2 linked regions of the Drosophila melanogaster genome follow. The protein of the gene in region 2 interacts with the protein of the main gene of each other region in a pairwise test. Each region holds a gene or a part of one and is shown on either strand. Other genes may lie near its edges.

Region 1 (18,058 bases), on a different chromosome or scaffold from region 2:
GTAGAGCAGGTTCAAAAAACGACATTGAGCACGATAAACAAATTTCGAAACACGTTTCTCGGCCTGTCGAGCAAACACAATTGAAATTTCTCAGCCACGTGGACCGTGTGTTTTATGGATCTATTTAATGGATTATGCATTTCTCAAGCAGTTCACTCACCCGTTCGCTGCGCTTGGAATCCATTTTCTGGCGACGACGCTCGAACTCATCATCCGAGTCGGAATCGCTATCACTTTCCACCTCCCGTCGCAATTTGGCCGCTCCGGCCTTCTTTGAATATTGACGGACAGCCTGGACCACGGCAGTTGGCATTTGATGCCAAAGCAGTGAATGTGCTCCATGTCCACAGATAATGCCGCCAGATGCCAGGCGCTGAAATCAGAAAAAAAAAGGAAATTAGAAAAATGTGAAAATGCAAAATGTATTGGATAAGTTTCTCTATCATAATAATCATTTTGATTGTGCTTTAAAAAAAGAGATGCTAACGTGTCATTAATAATGTTACGCAATCATTATGCTATTGTTTTGTATTGTTTTTGTGTATATTTCGGTTTTCACAGCCCCATGCTGAATGCTCTTTTTGTTGTTGATATGGTTGCTAGACGCCCTTCGGTGTGTAAGCAATCATTATGTTTTTAATTACAACTCAGCGCACTGCTGTTTTCCTGTGTTGTTTTTGTTGTGCGTGTTATTTTCTCATTGTTAAGGTCAGTTCTGTTTACTCACAAAACAATTCTAAACCTGATTCGTCGTTATCTGTTTTTTTTTACGAGTTTTCCATCTTTGGTTCGCCTTAAAAGTGCCAAAGAGTGACTGTCAAAATGTATCTCAAAAAACTCGGTCTACAGTTTGAGAGGCGCTTGGTAATGGTAAAAAACCACGTGGCGATCATGTATGTAACGAATTTAAAAGAAGAAATTGTAAACCAGCAGGAAAATAGCTTCCAATATATATAAAATATATGTAAATATAGGACACGGTATTTTACACATATATAATACATTCAATGTCCTTTGCTGCCAACATTGCAACTTTGAAAATTAAAAAAGATAAATATTGATGCCAATAACCAGTTCGGAGAAAGGTTTTTTCCATCACCTGTGCCATTAGGAAAAGATAAAAAACAAAATTCGCTACTCTTTTAATTACAAGAAACCGAATTCTCTTGTAAACGTTTTGAATTTCAATGGCTCTCGATAAGAAAGAATCCAAGTACAGATGTTGCCAGCCACCGACGACGATGATATCATGCATCATACCATATAACATTATCATAAAGCCCGCACACTTATTGTATTGGACTGACTGCTTTGGGACCTTTTTTCGGTTCCAGTTGCTTCGTTTGGTTAAACGAACTTTGGATTGTTTCTGTTTTTCGGTGTTTTTTTTTTCGTAAACAAGTTTCTCCAAAATACGAATTAATGAATGCAAAAAACGGGCCTCCTTTCATTTGAATGTCTGCGCGTCTCGAAAATAAAGAGAAACACGTTTCGACCATAAGAAAATTAAACAAAAAACAATGCCAATGATTTATATGTGGAAGATGCAGAGAGTAAGAAGACGGCAAATAAAAATCAAAGTCGAGCAACAGGTCAATGTTAATTTAGCAGCAAACAAGAAGTAGAAAAATTGCGAATAAAATCACTTTAATCATTTCCTGTGATTCTAAAACTTCTTTTTCCGTGGCGGTTAGAGAAAAAGTAAAGGGAGGTGGGGTACTTTTGTTGTTATAATTTCCAATGCTTTTGCGCAAGATTTTCCTGCTACAGAATTTGCGCAGTTTTCCGACTTTCAAAATGAGGGGGTTGTTGTCGGTGAGAAGGGAAAACAAGCTTTCACCTGAATACACGGTGAAAAATACCAGTAAGTATTAATATTGGCTTAGCTGGTTAAATTAATGTATGTTGTGTCAACATAATATCATAAATTTCGTTTCAAAACCGAAACTTTTATGCAAATACTATTGGACGGTATTTTTAAAGCTAACAACATAGGAGTAAGATGAAACATGTTTATATATTAACTGAACTATTTTGTTGAATCTATTGATTCAATACCAACATTTCTTTGTGTGTAATTTCCACTTGTTTATCTTACTGTATCTTGTTTTATTTGTTTCATTGAGGGATATGCCTCTTTCGGCGCCGGGTTTTCAATTTCTTATTGATTGATTGAAGTGCTGCGCCCTTTAATGATTGATGTGCAAGAAATTTGCCAGCACCTAAACGTATTTTATAGTTAATCATCAATTGAAACCAAAAATCAGCAATATATAATGCTGCTGCTAACAACAATAAATTAATAATGCGGGAATGAAAAGTTAATAAAAATTAGAGAATTAATAATCCCAAACTCTCTTGTATTGCTAGAATTATAGTTGGGAATATCTATTAATATTAATCAAGAATTGAACTCGAGTTCTTACAGTTTCGAATGCACTGCTACAGTTTACTTAGCACTGGCCTCGTTTCGTGAACATTCCCGCTCCCAATTTTCATTCTCCACTTCCCTTGCTTGTCTGTATTCACCCCTCTTCCTCACTATTTACAGTTCTCCTTCCACCACTTACTGTTTTTCGAATTGCGATTCTATTTTTCTGCTTTGTTTTGAGTTTATATCATGCGGAACTGCTTTTTGGTTGGAACATCTTTTGTGGAACTGGTTTTAAACTCTTTATTTTATAACTGTTGCTTTTAAGTTTGTTTTAGGAACTGCTCTTTCCTGTCCGCTTTGTGATGCTAAGTTTTTCTAACTGCTTGTTTCTGTCAATTCAATTAGTAACCTTAACTACAATGCACTGAAAGAAAAGATGCACTTACGTGACAATCGCTGTGCGAAATGGGCGTGTTTGGGGGCGGGGAGGCATTCTGCTGCAGAACGCCGACAGTTGCGGCCATGTTGCGTTCCAGAATTTCTCTTGAAGTGCGCAAAATACCACGGCTCACGATGGAGAATGCCATTTTGTTTTTCGCTCAAGTTTTAACCTCGGTTTTCTTAAATTTTTCCTCAATTTTCGCTACGTTTTCCTTACAGTTTGAACTGCACTCGAGAAAATGTGCAACGTTGCTTTTTTTTAGGGATTTTGTTGTTGAACTCTTGTTATTATTTCGATTGCAACGCGCATTTAACAACCGGTTTTTTCGAAGATGCACCACAAAAAAATGTTTGCCTTTATTTTTCTGCTTTGTTTTGTTACACTTTGTTTTTGAGTCCGCTAATTTCTATTTTGATTTCTCTGTGGTTTCAGTTTTTTTTTTTTTTGGATATCTTTGCTTGGGAGTAAACACAACCGTTCGCTTAAGCGTTCGAATTCGTTTTGAAAACCATCGCTGCGCAAAGAAAAGAAGTCGACGTCGACGCCTGTAAAAGCAGAGCGGTCTTTCTGAGTGTGTGTGAGCGGGAGTGCGCGTGTGTGTGTGTGGTTTTGTGTGATGAAGAGGGAGAGGACAGCATAAGAAGGGAGCAGGGAGAACAGCTGCTACTTGGAATGGTTACCACAAGCAGGCAGTACACACTATTGAAGCCAAAATATTAGTAGTTACATTTTCAAATGTTCACGAAATCAAACTTTGAGCTGCATTAATATACACATGCATATGTGTCGCAAGAATATTTTTGAATATGAGCGTTCCCAAATGTTAAAACCAGCTTTAAGAGATGCGGAGGAATTAGTATTTAAGTTTTTTAGTTCATATTTTTGCGCCCTTGGCTGTATATATGTAAGTACAAACACAAAGGCAAGACCATGTAAGCCGGTTGAAGAAGAAAATGGAGAGGAAGCAGGAGCACAAGAAGAAGCAAAAACAAACACAAAACCCAGTGATTGTCAAACCTCGCTTAAATGGAGAACTGTATTCGTTTTCAAAATAAAGCCCAAAGAAAATGCATTACATAAACATGGGATTACACACACATATACATACACGGACTACAGTTTTCCAATTGATAACGTAAACGAAGGAATCCAAAAACAAAAGCCAAAACTCAAAATGAAAATATCATAAAATGTGCGTATTTAGGTCGCTGCGTGTGACAAACTGTCGGTCCAATACAATATGCCCCAAGACACCCTTCCCCCCTCGCTACGCACTTCCCCGAAAAGTGCCCTCTACGCACACACATACAAATGAAGTAACACAAATACCTACGCACTAATAGTTTCTGTTTTTCCGTTGCTGTTCTACTTCATTGCTCCACAGCAAAACGCATGCTTACACCCACACGTGTGCGGTAAATATTATAGGATCATTACAACACTTTAAAACTAATAACATTAAAAGATCGTTTTCAGTTACATACCAATTAATTTCAAGCACTTGGCATTTTACCACCATTAAAGGTATCTTAAACTATTTTTTATAACCCAAATTGTCCAAAAGCATAATGCACTATGCTGATCATTCTTCGCAACGGAGCACTATTTCTAGTACCTTCACTGTGGACACCCATACATACACAGCTGTACATACGTGTAAGATTGTATAATAGTCTTGATCAAATAAGCGCCAGTGGACTTGGACCCAAAAAACATTGCATCGAAACGAAAACAAAAAAGAAACCATCGAAAAAATTAATAAGGGGGTAGTGATTCGGAATGGATATATCAGTGGCCGGCAAAAATTAAAGGGAATTATCAGCTCCACTAATTCCCTTTAATCTTGGTTCATTTTAATAGTTTTTACTGCCCATCAAGATCAATGCTTTCATAAATCCCCCATAGTTTTGCAAGCACTGGTTCCCCGCAAGAAGTGCAACACTTTACGTACAAAATAAAAAAAATCGAAGGCCCCCCACTTTACCGTTTCGAATGCGGCAAGCGGAGTGCACTGCACTCTGCGGAGGCAAAAACTTGAAAATACAGACGGAAAACCAAAACATGTGAGCAGCCGGGAAGTTTCCAAAGCGGATTATGCGGCGGTGAACTCGAGATAAATTGAACATAATCCGTTTATAAAGATAATGGAACATATCTATACATACATATACATACATACATACTATCTGCTAGAACGTTCTGCTTTTGTCTGTGTTCCTTTAAAGTTAAATATTACTTCTATTATTTTATTATTGTGATAGATGCGTATTTGATATCTCGATAATACCTATTCATAATATTAGCCACAGTAATGCATAAACGTCACTTGTTTCGGGGTGGACGTGTGCTTGGAACGAGAACAACCGGCGCATCGGCTGTCTGCTGACTTTCCGACCGTCACGTAACACCAGGTCCAGGGACAACAAAAGCAACACAAAACAACTGCAAACATATGACCACCAAAACAGGGTCTCCAACCATGTAGTATATACATACATATGTATGTACATATGTAGGTGTAGAGTGTGTGCAGTTTAGCATGCGCCCGCTACAAATACATAAATTATAATCTATTTGCTGCTGCACCTGCAAACAAATAAACAAATAAAGAACGAAAATTGGAGACACACGACTAATGACGTCACAAATAGCTTTTAACATTACACCCACGATCCACATGACATCTACATAAGTAGCTCCAAAACTCAATTGCCGAAAATTAAAATGCGTAATTTAAACGCGCGCGCGAAAAAGGTGAAAAAAAACAGTAGAAATACCTTTACAAAAACTTTACTACTTAAATAATAGATTTTAAATCTTTAAATTTAATACTTTAATTTAATACTACATACATATGTAGATATGTATGTACATATCTATAATCAAGAGTTCTTAAAACATAATTGAAAATATTTAATACTTTATATTTGATTGCCATCTTAGCTAGTGCCCACTGTATTGTAATTGTAAGTCCGCTCCCAAGATTTTGCTTCTGTTTCATTTGTCTTTTTGGGCGGGGGATCCAATCGAAATGGGTGGATCGTTGTCGAGCGGGAACACGCACACACGTGTGCTATTCGAGATACCCGAGAATATTGGACAAGATCGTTTCGTCTCGTCGTCTCGAAGTGGAAGCCTTGTGCTCCACGAATTTGTGATGTTGTGTTTTCTGCTTCTGCGTTTCTAGTATTTCTTGTCGCGCTTTTCAAGGTCCGCAGTTCCACAGTTTTGATGCCATTTCAGATTTCCGCAACGCCATTTATATTGATGTGCGTATGTGTATGTGTGTGATGTGCGAGAGTGCGCCAGTTGTTGTTTTCCCCCTGGCTTTCTGTTTTTTTGGCGTACGTGTTGCGCCCCAACGCCGGCTCAAAAAAAAAAAAGTTTAAAAAAAGAATTAAGGCAGAAATTATTCTTGTTCGCATTGGATGCTAGTTTAACCCTCTAAAATGACAACTGTTAAACATAGTTTTTGGAGAAAATTTAAAAGAAATAATCTCATCTTATCACATCAAAAACAGATGTTTATATTAAATTCGAATGCAACATTCACATAATAGGTATTGGTCTAAGAATCATTTTGAGTTCAGATACAAAGCGGAAATTGTATTTATATTTGTTTGCGTACGTTTTTTTTTCTTTTTTTGGTCAGTGCATACAGTCTTTCTCACGGGTCTTTGGAGGGTTAAGCAAAAGGGTTGTTTATCTTTCGGGTTCACTAGTTTTTCTTTCAGTATGCGGATTTTGGCACGTCGACACACCGGCGACAGAGGAACGACGCCAACGTCGGCAGAGAAGTCGTGCTGCGACTTTACATAAAATGTCATAAAATTTAATTGCGTCGTGCATTGGTGTGTGTGCGTGTGAGTTTTCCAGTTGCCTGCACCACCAGAAAACAAAATAAAAAAAAGACAAGAAAAAATCAGCGACTACGTGCCACTTGCAACGCATCCTTTTCCACGTTGTTGTCGTAGGTCTTCGATTTTTCAAATTCATAACACTCCAAATTTTATGTGGAAAAACAATGAAACTCCTTTACAAATATACTTCAATATCTTTAAATATTACTGCTTGATAATTACATTAGAGAATTGCTTTTTAAAAAATGCATTCATTACATATTTGTAATTTGAAAATGCGTAATTTGTAATCGTATAGTTTTTGTTTAAATGTATTTTTTGTCGTGTAATTAATTAAATTACATCTGACGGTCGCCTTATCAGCGACCTGCTTATAATGGCTGATAAAACCCCAAAAACAACAGCAATGCCCAAAACAAAAAATAACAACACATGACTTTCTGACCATCGCGAGTTACAAAACCCAAACGGTTAGAGATAAAAGCCAGTCCAACTTTACGGTAAAGATTAGGCCAGAAAACAAATACGAAATGAAAATGAAGTAGGCAAACACAAAACAGATTTGAAAATTCGAAATTGCTTTTCGAAAATGTTCGGTAAATAGAGGGGCCAACAAATTTGGCGGGTAAACAAGGCTATTGATTTCCGATTACAGTTTGAGAGTCACTTAAGGTAGCGGGTTTGAGTAATAATATATTTGGTAAACAATATTTGAATGTCCATTTTGCATAAGCAAATAATAACATTTTTGTTCCGAATACATTAACTAAACTAAAGTTATTTTCATAACAATATAATTTATTTGTAAATTCAGTAGTAAAGTTTAAAAAAAAAGTAAAATTGATAGATTTATGTCGCTTGCATTCGCCTTTATCGGTAATGATAAATGATCCAAATTAATCTTTTATTTATGGCCAATAAACACACTTTTAGGGCTTGTGTAATTGGCCTTCAAACACAACAGCATTCTAAGAAAGGAAAACAAAAAAATCAACACCGTGGCCCAGAAAAACAAAACCAAAACAAAAACATGCTAAAAATCTAAACAAACATAAGAGGCATTTGAGTTTTTTTTTTTTTTTTTTTTTGAGGTAATCCACACCGGCACATAACATTTAACCCTGATGTCGGGCGATTGAAAGCTCCTTAAGTGGCAAGTGGAGATCCATCACACTGAAAAAAATAAACAAGATCACTTCGATTATTTTTGTAGCATTGAATTTGAAGCTCTTCAATTCCAAGACCATAAGCAATGGCATTTTGGGCTATTGTTCTAAGACTTGTTAAAACTTATGAGGCATTCTATTCTACTATGCTTCTATTCAACATTTTTTCCCCTGTGCACTGTGAACTGCCATTTAAAATAATTGTAAATAGGTTTTTGTTTTTCCCATCGACTGCTATTTTTAGCCACCAATTAGAATTTGCTTAGGGGCTTTATCTGGCTCCCAAGAAGAAGAGTGCGAAAAGGGTAACGACTACGTTGTTCCCGGCACGTTAACACAAAAATTGTGCGTAAACAAAATTGTAAACAAAGATTACGCAGTAATCTACCATATCTCTGCATGCTTTTGTAATATATGTGGGCGCTAGAGTGGGCGTGGTCTTTGGCATTATGACAATGTTTTGGCAAAAAAAAAAAAATACGAACCTACTGACTGTTTTTGCGGGTTGTAGGCGATAGTTATAACTTATATACTAGATGTATATATTCTAGATTTAAGTACTGTCGTGCAAATTGTAAGCAGATAACACTAATTGAAACATCATAGCATGCATATAAGAGCGAATTGTATTTCCTAAAGTCCAGACAAAATCTTAAAATGTCAGTCTTTACGTTCAATATATTCGTACTATCACTAGTTCTCCATAGTTTGGCAGAAAATTTTTGCAGGCAGGATCTCTGTACCAAAGGAACCACCCACATAGCGTGTGTAAGTGATCATTCGAAAACTTAGCGACAAATTTCAATATGTGTTATGTGAGCAGCAGAATGTAAACGGATCCTTTGGTAGCTCTTGTCCCAAAGATGCAACCGTGATTAAACTCAATCTTGGGGATAAAAATGCTCTGATCAAGGCCCACAACTTGGTGAGACAAAAATGGGCTAGTGGCAAAGCAAAAATTAAGTGGACCGCCTGTAAAATGGCCAAAATGGAATGGAATAAGGACCTGGAAAAGCTGGCAATCTTAAATGCCAAAACCTGTCTTATGGGACATGATGAGTGTCACAATACGGAAAAGTTTCGGCTATCTGGACAGAATCTATTTGCCATGGGATTTTCTCATGCTAGGATAACGAAAACTAAAATGAATATGACGTTAAGCATGCTCTTCGAGATGGCAGTTCAAAAGTGGGCAGGCGAGGAAAAGGATATTACCGCCGAGGACTTAAAGAAAACGACACCTAATCCACCAGAGTTTGTCACTTACTTTTTTTCCCATTTATTAGTTTCAGTTTCCTTTTACGCTTTTGTTTTTTTTTTTTAGAGTTATTGGCCACTTGACCGTTTTGATCAATGAGAAAAGTAATGCTGTTGGTTGTGGCTTAGTTGCATATAATCTGGGTGAAATCCGGCGATACAATCTGGCCTGTAACTACGCTTATACAAATGTTATTGGCGAACGTGTTTATGAAGAATGCGCCAAGGCAGGCATAGAGTGCGCAAAGGGAATTGACCAAAAGTATCCACCGCTATGTGCTAAAATATAATGATTTTAAAGCGATTTAGTAGCACTATTGCTGAAGCTTAAATGATATTATTATTATTATTTTTATTTCTATTATCATAACAGTCAGTAATCACTTAAATTTGCAGCTATGGGCTTAGGGGTCGTCTTATATCTACTTGGAAACGAGGGTCTTGAAAACGGTAGGGCATTTGTGGGCTGGTAGGTGGCGATAGCAGTATGTCTTGATCGCATCCAAATCAATATCCGCATCCGGGGATACAATGCATATGACACCAAGACGATGGCCCCACATTTTATTGGGAATACCTAAGACAGCCACATCGTTGATATTCGGATGTGAGATCAATACCTTTTTGATTTCCGATCCGTATACCTTATAACCGCCGACGGTGAAGATATCGCTGCTTTTACTTAAAAAATAAAAGTTTCCGTTACGATAGGCGCAAATGTCTCCGGTTTTAAAGAAACCATCTTGGTTGTTCTCCTGCTCCTCATTGTTTGTGGTTCCTTTGTGTTCCATTTCCTGATTGTTGTTAGCCAATGTATTGGACACCAAATTGGAACCAGCAATTTGAAGTTCACCAATTATGGTTCCCGCCAAGGATGCATCGCCGCCGATATCCTCCACCGGTATTAGGCCACTATCCACGGATCCACCGAGTTCGTTTTTGCAGGTTATTAGCTCGTCACCCTTATTACTGATCAATCGGGCCGTGACTCCCTTCAACGGCGAACCCAACGTACCCGGTCGATAATCGTTGGGGGCGGTATTATTGGCCATAGCAACCGCTGTTGGACCATTATGTGGAGAGTCACGTTGTCGTTTATTTAACGGATGACCCAAAACCAATCCCGTTTCCATCATTCCATAGTATTCGTATATATTTTGACCCGTTATCTCGCGCCATCTGTAAAACACCGAATCCGGTAGCAAGGCAAAAGCTGTCGCCATCAATCGTATCTTTTGCCGGCAATGATTCACAATGTACTCAACCATTCTCGAATCCTTGGCAAACATTTTCTCATACTCGACAATCAGACGCTTGTAGACAATTGGCATGGCCAAAAAGAGGGTGACCCGTTGCTTGGATGGGCTATTTATGCCCAATAGAGCACTCCACGCATTGTGACCATCGAATTTTTGCTGCAACACCACATTACCGCCCACACTGAGAACTGCTGCCAAGGCGGCATGCATTCGATTCATGGATAGTATTGGCAGCATACAGTCTGTAGGTCCCAAATGCCAAGTTCCGATCAAACATCGCATCTGAGCTTCGATATTCCGATGGGTCAACAACACTGGCTTGGGACTATTGACCGCATTGGGCGTATAGATCAGCATGGCTGGTGCCTTGGAATAGAAATCGTTTGGAAACGTATTTTCCGTTACGATAACACCCTGGATCGCCACCAGCTGTTTGGCATACATCGATGTCGAGGATACACTCTCCGCCGTCGGGAGAAATGAGTGATCCAATATGATGGTAGCTGATTTCACACCCTGCGACAATTCCTGGGCAAGTGACTCAAATTCCTTAGTGGCTATCAGTAGCTTGGTCTTGCAGTTCGATGCCTGCCGTTGCAATTGATCTATCGCCTGGCCGGATTCCAGTGGAACTGCCACTTGTCCGGAAATCCAACAGCTCCATTGTATAGCTATCCACAGGGCGTTGTTCGAGCACAAGTATGTTACATTCGAAAGCGCGGCGCCGCCTGAAAAAAGAGAAGAATTTGCAAACTTTTTGAAATTGAACCGTAAATAAATTGAACGTCCGGAAAAATGGTTTGTCACTTACCACATATATTTGAGATCTGAATGCCCAGACGTTTGGCGGCCATATACAATTGAAAATAAGTGTACTCCCCATTGATGTCTTTCACGGCGATCTCATCCGGATAGAGCATAGCCTTTTTGAACGTGGGCACCACCACATTACTACGCTCCTCTTCATCGAAACTATGGCGCAGCTTCTCGATGAAGCCATCCTGCAAACATTAAATAGAAATTGTGGAATTGCAATTACATAAATATTATATATATATATATATCTACCTATATATATTACCTTATGTATCAATTCGGCGGAGCAAAGACGGGCCAATGGACGCAACTTTAACTTGTGGCAACGGCGAAGTAGCAGCATCTTACTGTTTTTTTTTTGTTTTTTTTTTTTTTTTATGGATTATTTGATGGTGTGTGCGCGAATGCAGCTATTTTAAATAATAGTACAAAGAGCAAAATTTAACTCAGATTTTCAGTTGCTATCGCTTGAAAAGCCAAAACGATTCTGAGATTCGTAACATGACATACTTGAGTGGACACAAATGAAAGTCGTTCAATTCGATTTGTTTGATTTTTTGTTGGTCTTTATTTACACAATAATAGTTTGCAGACACAAAAATTAATAACTACAATAGTCATAATCGTAAACGTAAGGTAAGTAAAAAAAAAAAGATGATATATTTCAAGTAAAATGAACGTCACTATTTTTCTTTTGGTATTTTTCTTATTTGTGTTCGCCTTCGTTTGTTCGTTTTAATTTATATAAATTTTTTTTTTTTTTTTTTGTGACCTTTGCATAATACTCAAAACTGTCGTTTACAACAATCCTGGCTTGAGAACTCGAACGTGCATGGGGTAACGATGGGGCGGGTTTCTTATTTGGGTTATTGAGAGGAGGTGCAATCGAAAACAACACTTAAGAAACCTATTGTATATTTACAGTCTAAGATTGAGCAAAAAAAAAAAAAATAAGAGTCAACTATTTTGGGTGATTTTTGAGATAATGGCATTACACCGTTTGTTCCTATGGCAGCTATATGATCTATCATACAAAAACGTATAGGAATAACAATTCGAATAACCGATTTATATGGCATCAAAACCTTGAGAAGACGGACGGATAAACGGAAACAAGTACAATTGCAGTGTATTTAAAATCTAGTTCCTTTAAATATACAAAAACACATATATTTAGCATAAATCGCATACACATTTTGTAAATTTTCGTTACGTCCATGATTCGATTGAGTTTCATTTTTCTCTTGCTTTAATTTAACACTACATTTTAAGTAAGAGCCGGGGGAATTTTTCGAGTGCGATCATCAAGTGGCGGGCAGTGCTTGCTAAAAATGTAACAGTTTCACAATTAACAATACAATCACAGATTACGAATTTAACATAATTAACGAAAAACAATTACAAAAAAAAAAAAAATTGAACGATTCGAATGGTATTTGTTTTTGGCTTGGCAAAGGGAAGGACAAATTCTGGGATTTAGAGATTCGACGCACTTCCTTCCCTCGATTTCCAGCCAGGAATTTCTTTCTTTTTGTAGAACTGTAAGGCACTCGGCAGTCTCTTCTTTTTCACTTATACTCAAAATGTATGAAATTATGTAAAAAGTTACTGGCACGTTACTGTTTTCAATTTTGTTTTTTAAATTTTTTTGAACATACATTTACATTTGTTATCGCAACACTTAAAATGTATCGCGAAAAGCACACAAGCTTATTCATCTGGCGTCGTCCAATAACGAAATAGTCATGAATTTGACTACTGGGAAAATCCAAATTAACATGTCAACAAGTTGTGTTGAATTAAATTGAAAACAGCAACAGTTCTGGGACAAATAAAAACTAGGACTATCTCCTCCCGATCCACCCCAAAACCCCACTGCACCCAGTTCGATGCCAGGATCTCTGGATCCTTGCTATCGGATCTGAAATCCTTAAATATTTTACACTCGCTTCGGTTTGCTGACCATTGTGTAGTTGAGGCCATTATAGCTGCGATGATCGATGGCTGCCGCCTCGAGATTGCCGCCTTTGTTGGCCGTTGCAGTTGTGATGGTGCTACTACCGCCGCTGATATTGCTATTGGAGATTCCTAGATTATTATTGTTCGTAGTGGTGCTAGCCTTTCGCAGCACCCCGTAACCGCGATGACTGTCATCGGCTTTACGGAAGCTTTCCGTATCGGGACTAGCGATCAATTCGTATTCATTGGGTGGCGGTGGACTGCATCGTATGCGATTACCGGGTGTGACATTCACAATGGTCTTATAGCCACTCGATGTCTTATTGTTCGGCGATAGAAAGTCTAAACGATCGTAATTCGATTCACTAATGGATGTGGCGCTAGTGCAACCCTCACCGATATCGATGTCTATGATCTTGGGTGTATTTTGGCTGCCACAGGTGGATTTCGATACTGATCGCTGGCGTACAAATTCTGAGGTATCGCAGAGTATGGGCATACGTTCACTGTGCCTAACATCGCCCACGCCCCTTGTGCGCCACGCCTCTGTGATATTTTCGATGCACTCGTAATCCCGCTCCGGAGGCGGTGCTTTCGAGGCGCTCTCATTTCGCAGCGGCAAGTCGGGCGGTAAATCGGCTGCTGTTTCCGGCAGGGATATCGATTCGCCTTCCAGGGGTTTCAGTATCACTGAACTGTTCACATCGGAATTGGCGGATGGCGAAGATATCGTAGTTATGGCCACAGGTTCATATTTCACAATATTCCTGTATTTATCACAATGGGTTGTCGGGCTTTTGCGTGGCGGTTTGTTGGGAATGTGTTTGCTGCTGCTGCTGTTGCTATTGCTATTTGCGGGCACGGATAGCGTGATTCCTCCGGTACTTCCTAAAACGCCTCCACCCGTTGCTGTGGCGCCACTTGCTCCACCTCCACCCGCCGAGAAGTTATTAAGAGAATCGTTAGAGCTAATGAAGCCCCTCAGGGATATGCAGCTTTGCGTTGAGTTGATCTCGAACTCGCCACCGTGGGGATTACTCGACGGTGATGGTGGCAGTGGGCTTCGCGAACCGGGCTCCATGCCAGCTGCCGCACTAAACTGATTCTCACCGCACTCCAAGGTGCTCAGACTATCGCCGCTAATCAGTTTCTTCATCGACTTCATCTTGGCGGACATGCAGCGGAATACCTCCTGTGGATTGGTGTGATCCAGGGTGAAAACGCCTTCGCCGGTGGTGCATTTTCTGCCCGCCTCAAAGGTGAACTTGCCATCGCGATAGCCGTACTTCCTAATGAAACGATATGGCCACATGGCGATTGTGGCGCCCAAATCCTCCGATTTCAACTGAAGTTCAGTGGGCGTCATTTGGAGCATATATGTCTTAGGTTCAATGCAGCAACGAATGGAGGCCTCGGATGGAATCAACGTGATAATGAACAAGCCATCCTGCAAATTTATAAAAGGTGTGGATTATTATGGATTTTTTATGCGGTTCGGTTTTTTTTATATTCTTATTTTAAACGTGCCAATTATTGTCAGAGACTAAAAATGGAATTGGAGGTGCATTTTCACGTTAGTTTCTTAAGAACGCTTTAGATTCATCGTATACCCCTTTTGACAACTATAAGATTACGCAAATATAACGAAATACCCCAGAAAGTTTTCGCTTATACAGAGATGATCACTCACAAAGGAGCTGCAGTAGAGGTCGTTGTCCTCCTCGATGGCCCCGATTCCCCCCGATGGTGAGGTGTCACAGAAGGCCACCGTTTGCAGGGCGGTGATCCAATCCTTGAGCTCCTCCTCGCTACTTGTGCTCAGTGTTAGGGTAGCCTGCCGCTTGACAATGTGAATGAGGCGTTCGGGAGGCGGCTCCTGAGTGATCTTCACACAGTTTTCGAGGGTGAAGATTTTGGGGTTCCGGTCCTCCTTGCTTTCGCACATCTCCAGGCGGGCAATCCCATGCCGACTGGCCTTGAATAGCAAACAGTAGCGACTGCATGCTTTCTGCAAAAAAAAAAAGAAAAAATTGGGATTCGATTAAATCGGTTTGGATGTCTTAAAACGATTATATCTTAGTAACGTACTGAAGAAGATGTATTGTATATGTATATGTATATGCATATGAAACTGCAGTGTATAAATAACCAGAATCAATTCAAATTTGTCTTAAGATTTTGTAGTATCCTGCATTGGATAATGCTAAAAAAAAATATAAAAATAGAGTATGAGCATAATGGGCTAAACCGTGAAGTACTTATTCGCCCTCACTCTGCCCCTTCTCTGCGATCCCCTGCACCACCACCCTTTTTCCCCAGTTTTCTGCTGGCTCAAGAATTTCCTGTCGCGCATAAACACAAATACCACGAAGTAGCATGAATCGCCAGCTGTGTGTGCCATCTGAAACTCCAACAGTGGGGGTAAAGTTATTAGGATCAATGCATAGCATGTTATTCGAATTTTAATTTAACTTAAAAGCATCATATTATTACTGCCTGATATATTGTTTTTAAATACGGTTTCACTTAATTCATTAAAGGGTTTGTGTTGGTCTTGGAATATTAATATTATTAAAAATGATATGCTAATATTATGGCCTTAACTGTATGAAGTCGGCCCCTCTCTCGCTCACTCCCTCTACCGCGTATCGCTGTCTCACTCCCACTCGCACAGTGGGCCTCATTTGTATGCAACAAGTATGCAGACAGAAACACATGCACATAACACACTCACATTAACACATAGGTCCTGTTTGATTTATCGAAAACTACGCACTTGTAGGATAATTGCAAACAGAAAGTAACTTTTTAAACCCTGATAAATGGGGAAATATTTATATAGAAGGGCGGAAATACGGCGATTTTCCATACCTTTTTCGAGATGCGATTTAGCGAAAATCCAGTTTGGGTCGGCACATTAAGATATCCAGCCAAAACAGGTATTTCAACATCCATTCTGTGCACCACTCCTCCACCTCTCCTCTCCTTCTTCCCACTCTCCTTCGTCTCCTGCTCTCTTTCCCTCTCCTTCGCCGATCTAGCTCACACAATGCGCCTCCGATTCCGAATTGTTGTTGTTGTTGTTGTTGCTGGAGTTGGGCTATGCGATTTCTGGAGTTTTCCTTCAATTCATCCGTTTTTCTGTGCTTTACGATAGCTTCGCGGTCGCATTTAGTTGATCACTTCATAGTAAACATCACATCATATCGCACAGCGAATACGGAGATTCGAATTTCGAAAAGCGCAGCCGCAGCACAAAAAAAAATCACCAAAAAGCGAGCACAGAGGCAAGTCGACTTTATTTATTTATGCGCTGCACGGTTGCATGCAGCTGCTGCAATCGTCATCGATAACTAATGGCGATCGATAACTTATGGTTTTTTGGTAACAAAGCGGTTGAATTATTTCTTAGGTCTAAAATAATAAATTAATATCATATTTTTATAATCTTGGTATGTTTTCCTCTCCTAGCGCGCAATTTTAATTTCTCATAATTGCGTTGTTGGAGTTATCAACATTTCGATCAATACGAAAAACTTGTTATATTATTTTTTTGATATTTTATATTATTTTGAATGCAAATATATATATATATATATCTATGTGAAATATTAAGTTACAAATTTATGGTGAAAATATTTTCTGTGAGCAAATATTTTAATCGCGTGTGTTTAAAAAAATAGCTATGAATAAAAATAAATCAAACAGTCTGGCAGCAAAGTGGCGTGCGATATTTCAGCGTTGCCATCTTCGAATGCCAAGTGCCATCACTATTATCAAATAGCATTGTTTCACCCATCTGGTAACATCGCAAATCGTATTGTGCAAAAAGGAAATATAATTTAGCCAAAACAAAAGCCAAATAAGGAACATGGCCCACGACCGCGAGGTGCTGCGAATGATCTGGGAGGGCCAGATAGGCATATGCTTCCAGGCGGATCGGGACGAGATCGTGGGCATTAAGCCGGAGCCTTTCTATCTGATGATATCGCGACTCAGCTACTTGCCTTTGGTGACTGACAAGGTAAACAAAGGCTTCAAATGGAAATGGCCATACCAATTATAAGATCCCAATGACTGTCGTACATATCCTGGCAGGTTCGCAAGTACTTCTCACGCTATATAAGCGCCGAACACCAGGATGGAGCTGTGTGGTTCGACTTCAATGGAACGCCCCTGCGACTTCACTATCCAATTGGTGGGGTTTACATTAACGAGATGATGATATCATAGCATGCCCATTTGATACTAATGATGGTACTGTCTTGAATCCTGGTTAGGTGTCCTATACGATCTGCTGCATCCGGAGGAGGACAGCACGCCCTGGTGCCTCACCATTCACTTCTCCAAGTTCCCCGAGGACATGCTCGTCAAGCTCAACTCCAAGTATTTATTAAAGAAATCGCCATACCAGTTTGTGTACCCCACAGTCGTGTTTGCGAAATCTTATCTTTAACACGTCGTAACTTGGGATTGCAATCATATATAGTTTTCCCTTTTCGAGTCTCAATGAACAATCACCGTGGATGTCGAAGTAATAACAGGGTAAACAATTGCCCATCAAGCAAATCCCGTGTTATAAGAGAAAATGTCATATAAAAGTTGGACCAAATATGAATTAACAACTTCGCACAAAGATAAACGTACCACAATAGGGTTTTTAATACGTTTCAAATATTTGAAAATAGCATAGTTACCTCGACTAGGGTACACAAACTGTTGGTTCCAACTGAATTTTTACTGATGATCCGCAACTCTTAGGGAGCTACTTGAATCGCACTACATGTCCTGCCTGAAGGAGGCAGATGTGCTTAAGCACCGCGGCCTGGTCATATCCGCTATGCAAAAGAAGGACCACAATCAGCTTTGGCTGGGATTGGTCAACGAAAAGTTCGATCAGTTCTGGGCCGTCAATCGGAGGCTAA
Region 2 (14,547 bases):
AAACAAAGCCGAATCCCTGTTCGCCACACGGTTTTTAATTAAATTGTTTTGCTCTTTTTTTTTTTTTTTGGTGGTACCAGTTTTGGCCTGGCCTAGCTTGGACTTTGCGGTAAAATTTACAATGTAATTTCCGTGCAGGGGACTCGGAAAACACTCCTTACTCACTGCCACTGTGCTGCAGCGCACTTGAATTTTAATAGAAACTGCAGCCGCCAGGAAAAGTCCGGATTGAAAGGGGTGCACACCCTGGAGAAAAGGCGCCAAAATGCGTGTGTGAGTGTGTGAATGTGTTGCCATTCTGTCATAACTCTCGACTGCGCCTCCAGGTATGCAACGCTTTGCAGTTCCTCTGAGAACTACAATATATGAAGGGCGAATAAGGAAACTCGTAAGCGTTGTCAAATCCACCGAATATATCATAAATATCTGATCTCACCTACTCGGAAACATATCCCATTTGCATTAGTATGCATAGGAAGTACGAGGCCCTAAAGGGATTTACTGTTTTATGTGTCAGTGCAATAATAAACCCAATCACTTTATGCTTGACACCACTTTATTTAATTGATTAAAATGGGTACATAGCTAATATGTTATATCAGTACCATCGTGGCGTTAGTTTTTCGCATTGAACGAAAAACCTAAAAAAAATAAAATCGTAGATCATTTTCCTCGATAAATATTTTTAAAATATTAGCTTGCCGATAAAAAAAATGTATATGTATAATTCAGTTCATAAATGTTTGACATTTCCCATACGGAAAGGTTAACCACCACAAATCCTTCTGGGGTTAAAAGGAAGGAAATTATTTCAACAAGTTACAAATTTTCGGAGTACGTGCCAGTTTGGGCTTGGTCCAGGGCCCATTGTTATGTGTGTCGCGTAGATCTGATCAATGACCTGCGAGCATTCCACATCCACCCATTCCCATCCACCCGTCCACCAATCCACCCATCCACCCACCAGAGGCAGCAGCATCCACATCGCCATGCTCATCGTCTTCCACAGTCACGGAGCTGTGTGTCCCATTAGATTTCAATAGGTCCTGGCTCAGGGTGCTTTTGCCCCGGTTGTGTTGGTTTTGTTTTTTGTTTTTGGTTTTTATCAACCACTGCCGGAAATTGTGACAAATTGATTGAACTAAATGGTAAAAATATCAGGCATCAAATTGCCTGTGACGATAAGAGAGTGAGCTTGCCCATTGAAATGGACTGGAAGTCGGAATGGATAGGCGTGCTTGTGAGTGAGTGGAAGGACATGTCTGCCTCGATGAGTCTGAGTCCTGGCAGTCCTCGCAATATGCAGGCAAAGCAGAAACTCACGCACTTTCAACGAGACATGTTTTATATGTCAGTCTCAAGTGTCTTCGCCAGACGACAACAAAAACATTGAGACAGGCTTCAATTTCAATGCGACTTTCGTGCTGCCTTCTTGTATTTGCACTACGAGTTTATGGCGCACTAAAGCTGGAATTCAAATGAGGGCCAGGAAAATCATTGGGAAAACAATGGCGCTGGGTTGGAGCACGCCAAAGAAAACTCACTTTAATTCGTGGAGCTGTGAGTAGTTGAAGAACAGACTCAGCCAACGAGTTGGCTGCTACCTAAATTAATGACTCTTAAAAAGTCTAAGAATTTGTATAAAGTCGAACATTTATTACATCCAACCTCTTATTTATATTCATATTCGTGCAACTGCCTGTACAGCATCTTACGACGACGTCGAATCACGTCTTGAACTCAACCCTTCTCAACTTTTCTTCCCAATCTTGGGACTAACTAGAACCTGCCACTGACAATTATGGCCCTCCTTCGCTTTTGGCCAGAAAATGCGACCAACCAAGTGTCAAAAGCAAGAGCAGGAAAACTTTGCGAAACGAAGATTGATTTAACTTTCGGACAGCTTTGGCCAATCTTGAAATGCATTTTTATTCGCCATCCCCAGTTTTGGCAATTAATCAAAGTACAAAGTAGGTTTGTTCCTGTTGTATGCAATGCAGATTGATTAATCAGATTTCATTGGCAATGCAATTAGAGGTTAATTAATTAGTTTTCAAAAACTTTCGGCAGTAAAGTGTTGAGTGATTTGCGGTTGTAATGGAATGGAAGTTTCTCTTTGCCAAATAACCTTGAAATACACAATGGTTTTTTTTTTAATTCTGTAATTCTTTTTTGTTGCGTTTCGTAAGATTTACGCTCCGTTGTCCGTTGTGGAAAAAGTAGCGGAAGCAATTAATAATGAAAATCAATTGGATGTACGTTTTACATAAGCCGATGAGGTCAGTTGGTCAATTGAGATACAGTCGGACCCAAATCAATCCAGCAACCTTGTCGAACTTTGTCCATAATTCAGTTGTCGAAGACTTTGAATCTTTCTGGTCAACGGGGTCCTTCACATTTTGCGATCTTTGCCGCCGGGTTATTGTGGTTGATTCAGTTTCCTTTTCGGGTTCGCCTCGAGTGGATTTATTGTTTCGAGTGGCAAACACAAATGTCCACAGCCATCACCCGCATCAATTCTGGCCGCACGTTGTCGACTCCTGTCAGCCACAATATCCTTCTTGTTAACAAAAGTCGGTCCCTGAGATTTGGGGTACCAAACACTGGTTGTAACCGAATGGATGGATGGATGGATGGGTGGTGGGCTGGGACCAGCGCCGCACACTTTGTCACTTCAACTTCGATAGGTCGACATATTTCTTATTGTTGATAATCTTTCTGCTGACACGGCCACATGCATGTGAATTGAGGACTGGAACGGTTCCAGTTGCTCCTCCTTCATCTCCATTTCATCTTCCAGGCCAGGAGACAATATGTGGCAAGGGCCTTTGTCTTTAACTTGGTAGCTTCTTGCGGCTTTTTGTTGGCTTTGTGTGCTTTATTGTTATCCCATGATGTCACCCAGGACCAAGTTCTATGAAAGACAGGCGGCTTTGTTTGCGGATTTCCGAGGGATTGCATTGCCTTTCAGACTAGCGCTGCATTCGAATAACTTTGAACTGCACTTGTCGACGGGGACACAAGTTTTAAAGTTGACCAATTTAAAGTTTATTGAATTGTACTCGTTAAGGAGTGTGGGCGAACCGAAATGTTCGCATTTGACATTCAGTGCTTACCATTTTTGCAATTGAATAATGTAATTGTGGTGCGACCTCGCAGAAGCCATTTATCAAAAATCGTATTAATTATATTTTCGAAAACATGTGTAGTAGTAGGGTCATATTAGGTCATAATAATATATCACACTGAATGTGACACAAAGCTTTCGAATTTGCTATACATGTATACTTACATCTTTAATGACTTTTTCCCTCTTCTCCTCTGGTTTCCTTAAACTCGTGTTTTTTTTTTATTTTTTTATCTGAAACTTTGCCAAGGGAGTTGAGCATCTAAAAATTTCATAATTTGTCTTGTCATTAAACCAGCTTCTCCTATTCACATTTCCATTCCTTTTCCCATCCACATCCCCTTTCCCATTTGCCAGCGACTGCAATGCAGCAGGAAGGACATTTGTGTCACTCGTAAATTTCCAATGCCGGCAACAAGCCGCCAGCATTCGCATTCGCATTCACATTTTATACTTTACTTCCTTTTCTTCGAGTTTTTTTTCCTCGGCTTCCGCTGCGCTCAATTCCCAATGTTGCCAAGTGGCAGTCATTGGCTTTTGCAGTGGCTTCTCGATTTTTCGGATAGTGCTTAAACATTTTCAGATTTACTGGCAGCAGAAACTCAGAGCTCCGAACTAGAAACCCGAACCGCACGCGCCATAGAATTTATGAGAGTGCCGAATCTTGACGTTTTCGTGGCGCCACATCCAAGGACAAAGAGACTGTGTCGTCATTCTATCGTCCTATACTGACTATGCATAATGAGTAGTAATTCCCAGTGGTTGGGAAAAACTTCTACTTGTACGAAATTCGGAGAGGGGAAAACGCAAGTTTAATAAGGGCGAATATATCTTCTATTGAAAATTCCAATTTACCTTCGCCGAAGTGTGGCGAAAACCTTTTAGCGGAGTCTAACCAGGCAACTTCGTGTATACGCTAACCATTTTCAATTTGGCGCCCAATCTAATTAAAGCTCATTTATGGAAATTTCTTATTAATTGAGCCAAAGAGCGATGGAGAGGCATTGTGTTGATTTATGCGCCCAGTGGGCTCATAATTTAACAGGCACCAAGGCCACAAGGACATAATAGTCTTCGCCCGGCTTTAAATGCGCCGATGAACTCGGGCCACATTTTCCCACTGACGCTTGAATTATGCAAGTTAATTTGCAGCTGCCTGAAAATGATGACAAGAAATACCGCCAGCACACCAACAACCACACCCGTACCCACACCCACGCACAATGCACAACAGGGCAGGACTTCTGGCTGCTGGCTGCTGGCAGCCTAACAAGAGTTATTTCCCACAGACCGGAAGTGAAGTCGACATAAATTGCGGTTAGTGCTAGTCAGCCCACAGCCCATCCACCCCCCTCGAAAGCCACGTTGGCCATTTAATACATTGCGACAGCCATTCAGGCAGGGTTCTTCCGTCTCAGAGGGAAGATACCACCCACTACCACCCACTACCTAGCCACCTGGTGGGGGTGGTGGAAAACTCCTGGGCAGAAGCTGGTATTAAAATTCAGATTGGTTGCGTCACAGTTTTGACGGTTTAGCCGGACGGGTTAACCCGGCATTAGTATGCGAGCGAATATTAAAACCCAACTTGAAGATTACCATATTTTATGCTGATGCATACATATATACCAGCCAGCACTAGTGGCTAGTCTTATTTTAGTAACCACTAGCCGAGCATCAAATAAGGATTATTGCCTTTCGGAATTCGTAAAAGTAAAGCGGATTGAAAACTGAAATCATTGCTGTGGAAATGTGCATCGGGGTAGGACTTTTATTTCGTGAAATTGATTGAATTTCGTTTTCACTTTGCACCCAATCCGAACTGCAAAATGGCAGGCTGAAATTGCAATGAACTAAGGAAATTTCAGGCTTTTCAGACTTTTCTCTCTCTCTTGATAAGTTTCAGTCTTCTGGTAGAAATTCCACTCCTTTCATGCGAAACACGCCTAAGCTCCTGAAAAGGGGAGGGGGAAACGTACTTGTTGTCCTGTTTTGTTACTTCTGTGCGGTTGTTTTCATTTCATTTACAGTTGCACTTGAAGTGGCTGAATGGGGCATGCATGATAGTCCTGGTTCCTTGATTTCCCCCGGTGCCAAAGAAACCCACTTTCCAGAAACCTCAACCGTACGAGAGCTTGCATTTCATACACTTTTACTGACCACTTGCCACCACGAAAGCCACACATCCCAAAGATGTCACACATCAAAACCAGAGAAGCAGAAAATGTATATTAGTGTTGCGCATATGAATCGCACTGTTCCACTTACAGAGCAATCAAAATCGCGGATACTAAGGACATATTTAATATATTACAGTCAGATATGCATTTCACCCTTTACTCACTGTTGTGCATCTCATTTGGATCGGAATGAATTGAAATTTTATTTAGGGTCAAAACTTTTCAATAACTTGTTTATTCCCGATCCTAGTCCTTAACTATTGTATTGAAATTTAAATCTGGGTTGTCTGGTAGCGTTGGCAACACATCGTTTGGATCGTACGTTGGAAGTGTGAACACGGTGGTCTCGAATTCATAATCGTTTTCCATATTCTCTTCTTGACCATCGTTATAATCATTTTCAGGTTCGACGAAAAGTGAGCCACCATTGCAGGTCTTCACGAGCTCATCTTTGTGGCAAAGATTCTTGTATTGCTTATTGCTTCCCTTCATGCACTCTGAAGCGGCTTCTTCGTCGGTGTCCTCGTAGACGGGATTATCCTCCTCCTCACAGAGACTCACTCCGCAGTTGTAGACGCACTTTAGCAACTGGTGGACCAGTGCTGGCCGAACATACTCAACTATGGCGCAGCCCACGCGATTAGCTCGATCCCTCAATACCTGAAAGTAGTTTTTGGACAGTTCCCTGGAAACGGTCTTCAATAATATTTTGGACTTCCTGGTACATGGACTTACTGCTGATTTTTAGTCCATGAGAAGAACAGCTTCTGCACTTCATCTTTACTATTGGGGTCAAACCAGTGATCGAGTTGCTTCCTCAGGGCCTCCTTTTTCGTGGTCATGCAGAAGTACTTTTCCAGCGAATAGCTGACTTCCGCATGACCGTAATTTGGGGTTATGGCGCACTGATCTCGGATTGGCTCACAACGACGTACCAGACCGTCGGCCACTTTGGCCAGTTCCGGATCCCATTCGATCGTGGTCATCCTTGCCGCCTTCGGATTCTGATCCATTCCGCCGGCGAACTTGTTGCGATATTCATTGTGCTTGTCCACGATGAGGGCTATCATATCCCAGCTCATTTTCACCATGGCTGCGGCTTGTTTGGGACAAGTGGATTCAAAATTCTGTAAGAATATGTAAAGCGATCCGAATGATTTGGTCTCCCGTTTACTACCCACTCACTCCATTGTCATCGCAGAGCACGTGTTGTCCTCGGCACAGGTCAGCTTTGCACCATTTATCTGAAGCGCCTGTATCTTGAATATATAATGTGGAGAACAGCAGCCAGATGCACTTTATCATGGCATAAATAACCAGAGTTGTGTATGCTCTGACAGAGGTTTTGAAATAAATAAATCGAAGCCTTGACGAGCATATAATGAATCGTTAATTCTACGCTTGATCCGCGACTAATTGGGTTGCTAACATCACTTATTGAAAGGCGTTCCTTCATTTATTGTATTCCAAGTGTCTTTAGGGCATGGTACGTATCACTGAGACAGCATTGGCCATTCAGTTCTTAAGATTTAAAGATCTTTCACTCTCCAGAAGTCCCTTCTATCAATTATATGGGTTTTTGCATTGAAATGCAAGGCACTTTGCATTGCTCATAAAGAAATGGCATAGGCAATTGATTCAGGAAGCGACTTAAGCTTAAGTGGCTGTCTGATTGCAGCATTTAGTCGCTGAATGAGGAAATTAACGGGGGAAAACTCGTTTCCGTACTTCTGCTTTTGTACTCCACTTAATTGTCTCGTGAACTTTTGCAGCCCAACGTTCTTCGTTCAACCGATGGGCAGTAAAATCCCCTGTTTAGTTGCCGTGAAATAATAAATCCAATAATACACACATTAGCTGCACCACATTTGCCGCTTAACAGGGGTTAAGCTAAAAAAAAAAAAGGAAGTCAGGTTCCCCAGTTTTTTTCCCCCTGCTTTGTCTATCTGGCTGCAACTCGTTAAGCCACTCAACTAAAAGACTAATCCACTTATTGGCGGTTTGGACCGAAGTAAGTACAAAATACACAGCACTAGAGTTGTAGAAGTTCGATTTTAAGACTCGCCTAAGAAGTTGCTGGAAAAATTCAGACGTTGTTTTAAGGTCTTCGAAAGGACGAGTGCATTCGCAAGGCTTAAAAAAGTGAGTTGAAAATTCACAGCGAGAGACCCACAGCTACTTTTTCATACCTGGTGCAGATTCTCTGTACTTCTTTGGACGTGTTGATGTTATTGGCAACAAAGAGATGGCACCGTTACGTCAAATTAATTAAACTAATTGAGTTTGAAAGGTAACGAACCGAGTAAGCGATGTGACACAGAGCAGAGGGGCAAAAATAAAAGTTAAAAAATGTGCCGAAGTCGTTACATACGTTTTTCACGCCATGTTCGTTTTCAAAGTGAAAAAACGCGATTACAGTTTGCATCCAAATGAAATAGGTTATCAGAGGTGGAAATTCTTGACGTGTTAAAAAAAGAAAAGCGACGCGGTTTTCATAGAAATGTAGCTACGTTTCAGAGTAATTAAATAAAAATGCTCCGGGTGTAAAAAATCTAATGCAGTATGTTAATACATTAGATCTGAATGTATATTAAATCAGCGATAGCACATGTTACATTTATCTACATCTTTTTTTCAGCCTGCATGAATATTCTTAATGTTTAATGTTTGCATATCTACTACCAGCTAACTTAATAATCAATATAAATCAATTTAGTAAAATGAATATACATTTTTTTCTGTAATCATGCCAGTTACTCGTAGAGCAACACGGTTAACTAGATTCGTTGAAAAAACACTCACGCCCTACATTTATCAATAAAGATTTCATTTTTAATTGGAATACATTCATTTGGCCACTATCTACGACCACGCCCACTCTACCGCCCATGAAGATGGTAGTGAGCAAGTTTGTTAGCAATCGTCATGGTGCTACTACAATATATATCTACGTTCCAGGGTATGTGATAGTTGTCCGGTGTTTTTAGTTTCACATTTATGCATATTAAATGCCAATTTTCAATGGCAACAATCAAATCATATACTAATATTTACTAAACAAATACGCAGCAACATATTTGCACCTCTCCAGAGATTTTACCTTCCAATTAGTTGCTGAAAATGGATGCACCAAATTGTCATATCGATTGCCATATGTGAGTATTTGATGGCTGATGACTCCACACACAGCCCCGAGGAACACCACCATCAGTCGCATTAATTACGATCCCCCCAATTGCCTGTGGGGAAATCAGCTGCGCATATTGTCGTTGGCAAAAAGTAAAATGAAAGCCACGGAAGAAAGGAAACCGAAATTGAATTTCGGGAGCAGTTGTCGCAAAAATGCTTTTAACGCGAGCCAAATGCATGAAGTATACGATATGAGTGGCCAAAGGGAAATGGGTTCTCGAGCGTGTATCATAATTAATGTTAATTGCCTGATTGAATGGGAGATGGCAGGCCCACGAATCCACATATTCGCACATATATATATGACAATCCCAATTTCCAGCGCCATTGAAACTGCATTCTGGCGCCATTATTTCGTTTCCGCTTCAGTATTAAGTCGCCGGACTGACAGTCTCCTTTTCGGTCCGTTTCAGGTGTCCTTGTTCAGGCTGAATTGTCGGAAACTTTATTGGAGCATATTGCGCTTGAATAAACATTGGAAAATGTGTGCTCATTAAAAGGATCTCAATTGCAATGAGTGCTTTAAATGAATTAAACAAGGAAATGTTTGTGCCAGGAATTCGATATTTCTTAAATACTTGAATTGAATTCATATAACAAACCGTTTGTAATTTAAATCTTAGTTTACCAACATGCCGTGATTGTGTTTGTAAAAGAACTATGATAGAAGATGGCTTCTTGGCTCGCAATAGCAATTAAAACCACTTGCATTCTAGATGATCGAGGCATAAAGGCTGCTTGGACAAGCAAACAACATGGCTATTTCCCTTATTTTTAGTTTGGGGCCCGAAGGTCGCTCTTCCTTACATATGGAGACAAGACGCAATGTTTGACACGTTTGAAAGATAAGGCTAGAGCGTCATTATGCGAGAACAAAGGACCTGGAAACCGAATTGCGCTCCTCGGAGGCCATTAAATGTGGTGCGGTGTGTTGCATACATGGCGTACACATACATGTACGATCTGCGGAATGTGAGAGCGATGCGATGTTTGACGAGTCAGTGCACCTGCACTATGTGCTAATTACTTATTTATAACGCCCAGATTACACGACACAAACACAGCCTGCTCAGCAAGCTCGGTGCAAGCTCATTGCATACTTTGCGGCGGCCCGGCGGCTAAATGTTCTTCACTTGGAGTGCGCAGGCAGGATTTCGAGACGGGACTCGAGATGTGGCTCAGTGTGTGTGCTGGGATGGGCTTGGGGATTTGGGTTTTTGGAATGGGGAGTGGAAAGTGGGCAGGGGTTAAGCAAGGAGAGGGGGGGGGGGGAATTTCTGCCAGCTCTGCAGACAGCAATCAATCTGGTCGAGCTGCACTTTCATCCACCTCAGTGGGCCAAAATCAGACCCAATCAGTTCCCAATTGGCCGTGTAATGTGGTTCTTTTTATTTTTTTTGATAGTTTGCCTCAAGTTTCTACCTCTTTTCGGCTACGTGGCTAGCTGGCTACGTGTGCATTTTACCCAAGTGCCTCTGAGTGTTTAAACAAATTTTGCGAAAGACTCTGGACTTTGTGGGGTAAATCTACCTGGGATATTTGCACAACTTTCCGCGTTTTAAGGAATACTCTGTACATATTTAAGAGCCATTCGGTTGGAAGGCTCTTGAGCAGAGATGGGATTTAATTCTGGCAAAGTTGGAGCAGTGACAGCCAAGTGAAAAACAGTTTATCCACAATCAGGCGAGAATTCTTTGACGCTTTTGGACAATCCGACTGTCTGTCTAGTTAAGCTCAACTTGCCACTGGCAAAACACTCAGGTGTGAAAATGCAACCACCTCGTCCTCGTCCCCTTCGAATTTCCCGTTGTTTTTTCCCTGTTTCTGTCACTTTCAGTGTCTGCCACACCAGGAAGTGCAGCCAAGTTTCGAGTTCATTTTTGAAGTGCCAACGAAATTAAAAAACTATACACTCAACACACTTATGCAACTGACAGGCGGCATTTGTGTATTGTTCTGAAAACCGTTTTATTGTTTTCGAATTTTAATTGACTAATGGCTCTTCAATGCTCATGCAATGTGCACAATGAATTAATGAGCATTATTTAAGGTAGTAAGTAAGCAGCGACAGACAGCAGTAAGTTCAGGCCAGAAGATATCCTAACAGTTTCAGTGAAAATTTAACCCTCTTTAAGCCAAATAAACCACATTTTTCAGGCGACCACAGTGGAAAATCAAACTAACGCCAACCCGTTGACTCTCCATTCGGCATACCGTTTTCACCTTGGCTTGTCATGTGAAATATTTGCCCAGGTGTTGAGTCTCCATCTCCGTTTCCATGCATTCGGCTGCTTCCTCAGTCTCTGCATGCCCCGGAATTTCACTTTTCACAGCAGACACCGAGGAAACTCCACTCCGGTAATCCCAGCACCTAACGCAATGAATTCTCCGGGTTTTTTCTTTTGGCGGAGTTCGGGTGGGTACGACCAGGTGAGGTCGAAATTGCACATTTCGCAACAGCACTGAAGTAAGAGTCGAGACACAGGTAATTTATTGCCATCGCTGCCAAAGTGAAACATAAAACGACGTCATTAAGTTATGTCGGCAAGGCGCAAGCCTAGAGCAAAAAATCGAGTTCCAAGTCGTGGGAAATGGTCTTGGAGAACGCGAAGACATACTGTTGCTTTTTGCTGAATTTTCACCTTTCTTACCCATTTCCTTTCGATTTCAAGTCATTTTTCTTTCGGTATATCCTGGTAAATGCATTAAAATTCAACGCATCGATGCGTTGATAGTGATAACAAGCTGTGCCTACCGATAAACTAGCCTATGAACATATGCTCGTAAATAGACTCAACAGAATAGAATGGTAACAGAATATGAGCACTTTATTTAATATTATATTTGTGAGAATACAATGAAAAGGTAACTTTAATAATTAAGAAACTGAGGGCACATGCATACGAGTAATATTGAATTTTCTTTAATTTTTTCCCTCGAGTGTCCCGACTATCATATACCCTAAAAGAGGTGGGGTGGAATGTGCAAGCGACTGCTTTAACTATGAGCTTCACCGAGCGGCTGCTACACAAATTGCTTATACTTTTTAATAAATAATCCGATTGAAACATTTTTTTGATGGATGTTCATAATCAAGAGTCAAAATCTCAATTAAGCTCTGGGAAAATCTAGCAAAACATATAAATTCAAATTCAGATATATATAATTTTTTGTGGGCGCCACAGATTCTTTGTTGTTTTTATTGGCATTGTTTTAAATTAAACATAAGCCAAATGGTCATCTTTGAAATCTTTATACCCATTCTAACATCTTATAGTTCTCGAAATTGCTAACTGTCAAAAGGAGAGACTGAAATACATTGCCAGATGAACTTGGTTAGTAAACTATTTGTTATGCAGGAATCAATGTAAGCATTTCACCCTGGCGACGGGACAAACATATTTTGTCATATATGTATCGATCGATTGGTCTAAATAAACAAAATTGACAACATTGGAGATGTAGAACGGGCCGAAAAAGTGTATTCAATTTGGGAATCTTTTAAAGCCGGAATGCATCAGGCCGAAAATGCAATCGATAGTTGCTCCAGGGAAGTTCTTTCCTGATTGGCGGAATCGTAAATTAGTTCTAGTGAGTGGAAAAGCAACTTTTCTCTCATTCAAAGCCATTAAAAATGCAATTGTTTAAAAGAGCTGGCAGCCAGGTTCGCTGCACTGTGTTGTCCTTATCCCCGCTTCAGTTTTGGCCTCATTGTGTCAATGTGGCAAATTTTGGTAGTGCGCACTCTTGCAAGTTCTCCACATTTCCATTCCGCCGTGGGCTGCTGCGGTCATTTCAAAAGTCAAATGTCGAGTGCAGCTCCATTGGGGTAAAGTTTTATGCCAATCAGCAAAGGCCATAAAGAAATTTAAATAAACGAACAAAAAACTGTTGCTATTCTAAAATCGGCCAAAATTGTTTGCTCTCTGTTTTAAATTTCCGCGGGGAACGAACTGTTTCGTGAAAATAATAAATGAATGCGAATTGTTTTATCTCAATCGCCGCAATGCAAGCGTTTCGTTCAATTGCCCAAAAATCAGTAACGTGATTTTTTGACAGTTTTCACAGCGAGCCAGAGTGTCAGAGAGTTTTCCTCGATTTTTCCAACGCTTTTATTCTCTGTGTGGTTGATTTTTCCAGCTATGGCTGTGAGTGTGTTAATTGTAATGACTATAACATTTTTATGCACTTTCCATAGCATATGCTGTTGTCACGAATGCAAAAACTGCGGCCAATTGTACACAGAAATTTGCCATCAGAGTCATTCGTGTGGTTCACATTTCGTATTTGACTTTTAGATTTGAGCGGCAGTCAAATGGATAGATAACACGTTTATTGATCCGTTGAAATATTGCATATTTCAATCAATTTACTGCAACGTTTGTGCAAAAAGCAAACTCCCTTCCGCTTTAATTGAAAAGTTACTTTTTTGCAGTTTATTTTCAAACAACTTCAGCTTTGCCAGTGAAATGTACGACAAAAACTCGTAACTTTGGGTCTACTGTCTACTTCTCTGTTTGCCTGTTTATGTGGATGGTTGTGCAGCCGAATATATTTCAGTGCTTTTATGAAGTGATAAATGGCATTGCATTTAACGAGAAAATCAAAAAAAAAATATATATCATTTATGCTATGTGCATTTATATTGTGACGCTAAAATGTAGCCTCGATATTAAAGTCATCCTTAATCCAAGAAATGCCAAGGCACAAGTTCCATTACCTCCTCTAATATTTAACGCAGCAATCTCTGAGCAGAACAATATCCTTCCAATTTGCCCAACCACAATCCGACTCTTCATCCTCGAATTCACCCCAAAAACAAAAATAAAGGAATGGTCATTTTCCTCTTGGCCATTGCCATCTTGCTCGGCTTGGCCCTCTTATGGCCATATTTTGTGGACGGGCCAGCTTAGGTTATGGAATTTATGATTAAACAAGTTGTCAATATGCCGGAGACCAACTATTAGCCGAGCAATTTTCGGGAAGCCCGAGGTGGAGATGCGGATACAGATAAAACGGCTAAGCGGTCTTGGCTAAATCGATTCCAGCGCGGGTTTAGGACCATTTACGCGGGCCCCAATTATATGAGCTTGTCGCCGGAGGGATGCGGCGCAACTGGGTGGAAGAACTTTGGCGACGGCTTCCCCGGTTTCCGTTGTGTGTGTTTTTTGGCCGAAAATTGCATTTCTATGCAAATGCCATACAGTCAATGACTTTGTCACGACTTTGTTAGTAGTTTGCCTGGCGGGGAACAAAAAAAAAAAACAACCATCGCCGAACAGGGCGAAAAGATTTGTGAGTGCCGGACAAAACTTGGCTGGTGATCAACAGTTAGGCCAAAGTTAGCAGCCGTTAAGTTCTCTCGCTGGCACTTTGAGTCGCTCGTAAAGCATAAAGCCAATCACCATTAGTGTAATCGCCTTTGGTATTAAGCATTATCGAGTAGTCCCGGGCCAACACCTCCTCCCTTTTCCCGTTCCCGTTCCCGTTCCCTTTCCGATTCCATCTAAGCCACTTCGAGTCTCAGGCCTAGTTTGTCGCTAGTTCGGCCCGCATAAATTAAACAGGGCCAAAAAGGGGAACCGGAACTCGTGGTAGGTGGTCTCTTTGATTAAGCCCTTAAGTTTGCTCTTGCCGGTCGGTCGGCAGTCAGGCAGGCAGGAAAGGCGTCAGGTTGTGGTTCTGATTCGGATTCTGTTTACTGACCATGCTAATCACAAAGGCTGCCTGCCAACTGCCTCATTGTTTGTAAGTCCGAGTCTGCGGATGTGCCTTCATTAAGGTGGCTTGCCGGAAAATAATATACGAATCCGATTGAATGCTTCAGTGAACCAATAAAGCAAGTACGACACAGCTCGGCACTCTGAAATATGGCAACTGCAGCACGGCAATACTACGACAATAATTCAAATTTTATGATTGAGTGGGCAAACAGAACATCTGCATGTGTAAGTATAAATAATGTAATCTGTGTGCTAGCAACTACAATACATAGGTGCTGAGTAATTATGCTTATTTAAATAGTTATTCCTGAAGCACAAAGAATTCGTT

What was found.
Region 1: the proteins of CG10651 (region 2) and Dok interact in a two-hybrid assay, tested with the Drosophila melanogaster proteins (one large-scale study listed by BioGRID).

Annotation. Positions count from the first base shown.
Region 1 is NC_004354.4:7,322,619-7,340,676, reverse strand, and holds Dok (downstream of kinase), read right to left. Parts: upstream 16,464-18,058; 5' UTR 16,089-16,463; coding exon 16,005-16,088; intron 15,142-16,004; coding exon 14,824-15,141; intron 14,581-14,823; coding exon 13,114-14,580; 3' UTR 11,871-13,113; downstream 1-11,870. Other genes in the region: CBP (sarcoplasmic calcium-binding protein), read right to left, coding at 161-373, 2,821-2,961; CG42780 (uncharacterized protein), read left to right, coding at 8,500-8,610, 8,666-9,096, 9,167-9,389; Acsf3 (Acyl-CoA synthetase family member 3), read right to left, coding at 9,522-11,086, 11,170-11,359, 11,440-11,517; Atg5 (Autophagy-related 5), read left to right, coding at 17,005-17,157, 17,232-17,331, 17,414-17,519, 17,895-18,058.
Region 2 is NT_033779.5:20,128,290-20,142,836, forward strand, and holds CG10651 (uncharacterized protein), read right to left. Parts: upstream 6,635-14,547; 5' UTR 6,613-6,634; coding exon 6,493-6,612; intron 6,435-6,492; coding exon 6,043-6,434; intron 5,993-6,042; coding exon 5,554-5,992; 3' UTR 5,466-5,553; downstream 1-5,465.